Linked DNA regions of Lepisosteus oculatus. The protein of the gene in region 2 interacts with the protein of the main gene of each other region in a pairwise test. Links are inferred from orthologs where the notes say so. Each region holds a gene or a part of one and is shown on either strand. Other genes may lie near its edges.

Region 1 (3,753 bases), on a different chromosome or scaffold from region 2:
TGTGTGTGTGTTGTCCTGCTGGCATGTCGCTGGATGGTTTGATAAAATTACCTCATCATTATGCTTTTCTGTGTCACAGTAGCTGATGTGCCACTTCTGGATTCCAACATATATTTAATGTTGGATGTTCACTTAATAAGCAACAAGTCTGGCAAGTGATGTATTCAATATGACCTTTGAGGCTTTAAATAATCTGGCTCCTTCATGCATCTCTGAATGGCTTTATGTTTACACTCCTTCTCATACAGTCTTTTCAGTCGAGATCTTTTGCTCACTAAACCCGGGACTTAATATCACACTTTTGGTGACAGTGCTTTTTCTTACTCCATTGTTATGGAATGTCATTTCTTGTCAAGAGACACATTCTCTGTCTGTTTCAAATCTAAGCGTAAAATGCACTACTAGGGCCTATGAATAATTTCCTTGGGTTTGGAAAGGTGCTTTGTAAATTAACGTTGTTGTTACATGTATTATTATTTTTATTACTGATTTTCACCAGGTGAATTTGAATTAATCAAAATGATTAAAAAATAATAACAATTGCTTACATTTATATAGCGCTTTTCTTTACACTCCACTGAAAGCGCTTTACAGGTAATGGGGACTCCCCTCCACCACCACCAATGTGCAGCCCCACCCTGGATGATGTGACAGCAGCCATAGTACACCAGAACACTCATCACACTCCAGCTATCAGTGGGAGGAGAACAGAGTGATGAAGCCAATTCATAGATGGGGAATATTAGGAGGCCAATGGGACATTTGGGGTAACACCCCTACTCTTTTTGAGAAACACCCTGGGATTTTTAATAACCATAGAGAGTCAGGACCTCAGTTTTACGTCTTATCCGAAGGACGGTGCCTTTTTACAGTATAGTGTCCCCGTCACTATACTTAGACATTAGGACTCACATAGACCGCAGGGTGAGCGCCCCACTAACACCTCTTCCAGCACCAACCTTAGTTTTTCACAGGAGGTCTCACATCCAGGTAGTGACCAGGCTCACACCTGCTTAGCTTCAATGGGTTGCCAGTTGTGAGTTGCAAGATGATATGGCTGCTGGCAGTAAGAAAATAAACATTTAATCAACATCCAAAATCAGTATACTTCATTTTTTTTAATGACAAACATGCACAGTAATAGGCTTCTTTCGGTACTCAATATAGTTTCAGTTGTAGTAAGGTGAGATTTATGAAGTCTGTACCTTTCTACTTTTCTATTCCAGTACATGTCTCTAGAGAGCCTTAGGAGTATTACAGGCACTGGTATGTGTGCATGTTGCGTACAACCATGCCGTGTAAAGACAGATACTGTCGCTTGCCACAATGTCGTAAAGCAGTTTTGGGACCTGTCTCACACGTTGTCCTGGTAACAGATTACGGCAGATGAAAGATGGCGGAAGGTGAAGAGACATTAACAAAACGAGAGCTCAGTATGGTGAGTATATTTAATTTTATTTTGGTAATTTTCTACGTTTACTTATTGCGTATATTTCTTTTCTTCGATTTGTATACTACTTCGATACTAGCTTTTTTCTTTTCTACAAATACTATTCTTCTTACCTGGGGTTGAATTTTGGTTAGATTTCTTGAAGGAATTATAGCAAACTGCTGCAATTTAATTTTTCTTTTAAGATCTCAGTACAGGATTGGAAACAATAGATGACAGTGGATATGTATTTAATTCACAATGCATTGCTTTTCAAATAAAAGTGCAAGAGTGACACTGCCTGATCTCACTAGTTTAAAATCGACCTGAATCTTGGGTTTTATTGGTTTTTCAAGAGACTCAACAAGAGCTGCTTGTAGTTAATAACATTGAATAATATGGTAGTGATACTTGAAAGATCAATAGTATTCTGTTTGGAAAGGGACGGAAGTTTGTGGTTAAGTACGCTCATAGAAGATCGACATTTTAAAAATGTATATAACTTTTATTGATTGTTTTTGTTATTCTGTGGATTATAAGAGGAAAAATAGCGTGTGACAGTATTGCAAGTGATATATTTCATTATCATACAATGGAATAAAAACGAAACAATAAAACAGAAAACTTGGCGCTATTCATAAGAAAAATATGACTTTTTTCTTCGTTTTTTTTAAGTAAGCAAATCTTAGTTAAATTTATTGGAAGCATCTCAACATCTTAGAACTAAAACTCGGAAATTATTGTAATCATGAATTGCATGTGCTTTAATTTTTAATACGTAAGTCCCACGTAGACTAGACTTGAGGACTACCAATTAAACACAGAGTTTCACTTTTACTTTGTTTATATCAGTATTGTTTTCTGGATAAATCCAGCTTTACAAGGAAGCACACTTTAAGGACACTTTCTCAGCGTTTCAAAACTGTTGTGAAACATCTTTGAAAACTGACAGTACAAAGGTGAATTTCTGTGACATTTGTAAAATCTAAAGACCTAAATACAGACATACAAAGTTAACTAAACTAAGATTGTTAGTAAATTACTGAATTTACTAAACAGCTTTTTGAACATCATAATTTAGGATATACCTGCAGTGTCTTGGAAAAGTATTCAAGCCCTTTCATTGGTGTTTGATTTTTACCTTTTCATTGATGAAATTACAAAATGATGCCTACCAATTTCTTAAACTTAATATTCAAGATAAAGTAATACAAACAATGAAATAATGCATAAATATTTAGACCCATGAACTTAATATTTGGTGTAAGCATCTTTGGTAGTAATCACAGCCACAAGTGGTTTTGGGTAAGTCTCTTCCAATTTAGCACACCAGCTTTGTGCAATTCCTGCCCATTCTTGGCAGATTTGCTTAAGTTGTCTCATGTTGCTTTTGGATTACTCACAGACAGCAGCCTTGCTATTGATTCCTATTGAGTCAAGAATTCTATCGAGACTTAGACTGGGCTACTCAATATAGGGAATACACTTTCTAATTGCCTTTTTGGCCTTCTACTTTGGTTAATTGTCCTGCTGAAAGATGAATTTTCATCCCAGTTTTATGTCTGAAGCAGGTTTTCCTGTAAGATTTGCCAGTTCTTTGCTCCATCTCAGTTCCTATCGGATAAACTTCACTGTTTCTCTTGATGAGAAGCTATAAGACGATGCTGCCACCATCATGCTTTGCAGTGGGGGTGTTTATTGAGTGGTTCACTATGGGTTTGTGTCAGATGTAACACTGCATTTAGACCTGAAAAGTCAAATTCTGTGTTATCTGACAATAAAACTATTTGTGACATGTTTGCATTACCAGTTAAATATTAAGTTGAAAGGTTCTTGTGGTTTTTTAGATGTTAGTATGTCAATTCCATTCAAGGGTTTGTGGAATAACTGGAATATTGTTAAACTATGGACATTTTCTATCAACTGTCTGGTTGCCTTCACTTCTTAATCAACTTCACCATGCTCAAAGACATATTAAGGGCATATGTAATTTGAAAGACATATCATTTATACCTTTCTTCTGATTAGTGCTTTTGTACAACTTTAGGAGTTGATAACTCCTGGTCTTGATGGTTGGATTTTTCCTTGAAATTCACCACATGACTGAGGTATATTACAGCGTGTATTTATTCTGAAATCATGTGAACAACTTTTACTGTACACAGACTGAGATCTAAGGTAATTTTGTATATCTAAATAAATTAAGTTTGCCACACTAGAAAGGTTTTAAAAGTGATACAATCATTCTTTCATATTATTTACTTATTTTTGTTTTTGTTTTGACTGTGTGTGGAGTAGGTTGAAGAAAAATATATATGGCTGTT
Region 2 (3,753 bases):
CTTCACCTTCCGCGGACCGGCCCCGCCGTCCCGCTGAGGGCTGGGGGCTGGGGGCTCCTCTGTAAGTCTTAGTACACTTATCTGGCGACCCCTGTGCCCCCACAGGTTAATACGAAAGGGGTTTCTGTCTCTGTCCTGCTTAAAACAGCCGGCCGCCTCTCTCTTGCTTTTGGCGCCGCCGCTTCCTCGGCCTCGTGAGCGCGCACGTCGTCAGCTGGAGCGCGGGCACGAGCAGGAGGCGCTGGCTCCAGTCCTGCTTCCTAAAAAATTCCCAGCGCATTAATTAACCATCCGGCCTGATTCCGACACCGACTGCTTTAATGTCAGACAACACACACCGCAAGGTCGAGTCTTCCAACAGCACGCTTGCGGGGAAATAAATCGTTATGTTTAAAATGTTATTTCTAAGCTCTCAGTACGGGATTTTATCCACAGAAGCTGAGGCAGAGCGTTCCGCTCACAAAACTCGGACCGATTTAAAGTGTTGTGAAATGGGAGTCAGATTTGCTTGTGTTTTTTTTTTTTTACCAAAAGACTATAACCGTAACAGGTATTTTCAGAAAATTAAACCCGGTGACAGCTTTTATATCCCCCACCCCATAACACACAAACAAAAACGAATAGCTTCTGCTCAGCAACTGATTTGAAAGTAAGGCGCCCTTTCTCAAGAGGGCGGCGTGCTCAGCTGCCCAAGCCCAGCGCGCCCCCTGCAGGCAGGCCGGGGAGGGGCGGGGCCTTCGCGGGGGCGGGCCTTCCGGGCGGAAGCGCCGCTGCCGAGCCTGCGGGAGAGAGGCAGAGTGACAGGAGGGCCGGAGCGCAGAGGGGGAGAGAGCCGGAGAGCGGGCTGAAGTGGACAAATACAAAAACTACATAAAAAAAAAAACTAAACATCCATATGGCTTCCAGGGTACTGAGTCTGAGCAGCGCCTGCTGTCTGCTGCTGTATTTCGCGGCGGCTGTGCTGGCAGGGTGAGTCAACCGAGGCGCTTTCAGCGGCGCTCATACCGGCTGGTACACATGTTGCGCTGTGATTGGTCTGCCGCGGCTCGGACCCTTCCGCCGGGCTGGGCGGCGATGGCAAGCCGCCGCTTGTGAATTGCGGGTTTTGAGGCTGTTGCACTTTTTAACAGGCTTGCTGGCGGCGTGTCCCCGTAGGGGAGCTGGTGTATGTTGCACTGGTGTTGCCTGGTCGCTATACACGCTTTGAAAGGGCTGGCGCAGGGTCCGATGTACGCACCTCCTTACCTAACACACCGGTCCGTGCCCTGTTACATACTGGGATGCATCAGCCCGTTTCTTTAAAACTATCTCGTCAGTTTTTTTTTCAAATATATATATTTTAAGTGGGTTGCAAAACTGTACGCAGACGTTTCCATGAATGCAACCGACTCGGGGTTCCCTCTCGTTCGGGGTTCATTCGCTCGTGGGTTCGGTTTCCTTTCGGCTGACTGGAGGGAACACCAGCCCCATTGCGTGTTTCATGTCCGTCCCCTGCATCTGGGAGGGATACTGTGGGAATCCTGGAGTGTCCCTTCTGACTGTAATAAAGACTTTCCTGTGCGCGCTCTCAGAGTCTCTTCACACTGGACCCCACAGTGCTCGTCCAACAGCCCCGAGGGGTACAGGGGGGAAATGGAGCTGTCTGTTTCCAGCTTGCGTGTAAGCAGCCCTCTCCGTGGCGCTGTCTGTTCCTCGGTTCCAGGCGGGATTTCTACAAGATTCTCGGGGTGTCCCGGTCGGCGTCCATCAAGGACATTAAGAAGGCGTACAGGAAACTGGCCCTGCAGCTGCACCCGGACCGGAACCCGGACGACCCCCAGGCGCAGGACAAGTTCCAGGACCTGGGCGCGGCGTACGAGGTGGGTGAGCCGGGCCCGACTGGAGCGCGGAGTCCTGCTGCTCCTCGGTGCCCCCAAGCGCAGTGGAAACCAGTGAGCTGGACCTGCAGGAGGCTGCTGCTGGGGCACAAGGGGATGACCTGGTTTGATTTTGACACGTCCCTAGAAGCGTCCCTAACATTCCCGACGAGTGAGCCGCAGGAGGCCAGCAGGGCTGCCCCTGTAACGCCAGGGCCTGGTAGCTCATGGATATCACCGGTACCAGGAGTGCGTGTGTTGCTTTGTAAGGTGTTGGCATCATTTCCTTGAGCAATACGACAAACAGTACACAAACAACAAGGACATCCCAGCACAGTACAAGTGCAGCTCCCACCCCCAGCTGTGAGCAGGTGTTTAATAGCCTCAGCTGGCTTCTCACCTGCACTCAGGCAGAAATCAGTCTGTGCTGCTCTTGCTGAAATATTCACAGCAGGATTGCTGCCCAGTACCACACCCTGCTGTAGCAGTACGTGCTGTGACTAAAGAAGTCAATGATATGAATGCTAGTATATCAACTTATAATAAACTTTATTTTATATAGCTCCTTTAAAGGTGGCTTCTCAAAGAGCTTTACAGAACAACAACAATGAAATAAAAATTACACAAGATTTGCACAATGAGATCACACAATGAGAGGAGACAGTAGATGGGGGTACTGAATACAGTAGGATCAGGGGGTAAAGAACAGAACCAGTCAAGGAAAGGTGTTTCTGAAGAAGGTGGCTTTGAGTCTGGATTTGAAGGAGTTTAGAGAAGGTGGCTCTCTGATATCCCTGGGGACTTCTGCGGCGTTACTGTAACCCTCCTCTCTGGCTGGGTGATGGAATCCTTCCTGCCCTACACTTGCACTGGGCCCCGTCCAGTGATTTCGATTATATCACTCGATCTCTTCTTTCACTGCCTTGTCTCCTGTGCTATAGAGTGTTTCGGTTCAGGTTGTCACTGGAAATGTCAACTGGCTCAACGGGTTAGACAAAGGTCGGTGATTGCCCAGCAGGTCTGTGGTGTTTGTGGGGCCTGTCAGTGATCCAGAGGCTGTAGTCACACCTGGACTGTTCTGATTGGCTCAGCTGTTTCCTTCCTGCTGTCTCTCTCCCTCAGAGAACGGGGGTGGGTGGGTGGGGGTGTGTGTGTCAGTATAGACCCCGGAGAGAAAGACAATCGCCTTACTGGCATCTGGGCTACAGTTGTGTAATATTATAGCACCTTGTGTCGTGGACTATGCTTTTGTACAACCCACAGTAACATTAAAAGGAAAATCTGGGTCATGATACCCAGCAAGCCCTGAGCCTGAAACTCAAGCAGGTGTTGTTGTTTATTAGCTCCTGGGCCTTTTTTGGCAAGACAGACCTAATTAAATTGTCTTCCGAAGAAAACGTATGTGTAATGTAATAGCGTCCCTTCTGTTAGACCTGTTTCCTGAATCTTCTCTCGTTCGGTCTCAGTTGTCTTTAGCAACGTGTTTCGGTTGCAGCAACGTAAAATTCAAAACGTCGATGGCTTTTTCCAGAATCGCGCTTGACTGGGGCACGGCAGCTCCGTACCGGCATTAATTAGGTGTGTTTTGATGACGTTATTAATTGCACCTGCCGCGATGTGGAAGAGCTCGGGGCTCAGAGAGCACGCTGCCTCTCGTGAGCCGCTGAGAGTTCCTTTGTTGTTGGAAACGGAGGCCCGTCCTGATTGGTGGACAAGCATGTGTGGCCGCATGTGATTGGTTGAGGGGTGAAGGGGTGAAAGTTGAATTAGCCAGCTGTTTTAACCACGCGGCTGTCTGAGACGCCGGGACCGGAAATCTGCGAATCTGCTCATTACATAGTAATTTAATATGAAACTACATCAGGAAATCTTAAAAGCGTTCTTTTCCCAGCTATAG

The links.
Region 1: the proteins of dnajb11 (region 2) and ubr1 interact in a two-hybrid assay, tested with the Homo sapiens proteins (2 studies listed by BioGRID and IntAct). The link is inferred for Lepisosteus oculatus from reciprocal best matches to the Homo sapiens genes DNAJB11 and UBR1.

What each region holds. Positions count from the first base shown.
Region 1 is NC_090703.1:18,757,324-18,761,076, reverse strand, and holds the start of ubr1 (E3 ubiquitin-protein ligase UBR1), read left to right. Parts: upstream 1-1,283; 5' UTR 1,284-1,393; coding exon 1,394-1,438; intron 1,439-3,753. UniProt on the Homo sapiens protein: E3 ubiquitin-protein ligase which is a component of the N-end rule pathway. Recognizes and binds proteins bearing specific N-terminal residues that are destabilizing according to the N-end rule, leading to their ubiquitination and subsequent degradation.
Region 2 is NC_090707.1:7,356,221-7,359,973, reverse strand, and holds the start of dnajb11 (dnaJ homolog subfamily B member 11), read left to right. Parts: upstream 1-751; 5' UTR 752-895; coding exon 896-969; intron 970-1,702; coding exon 1,703-1,859; intron 1,860-3,753. UniProt on the Homo sapiens protein: As a co-chaperone for HSPA5 it is required for proper folding, trafficking or degradation of proteins.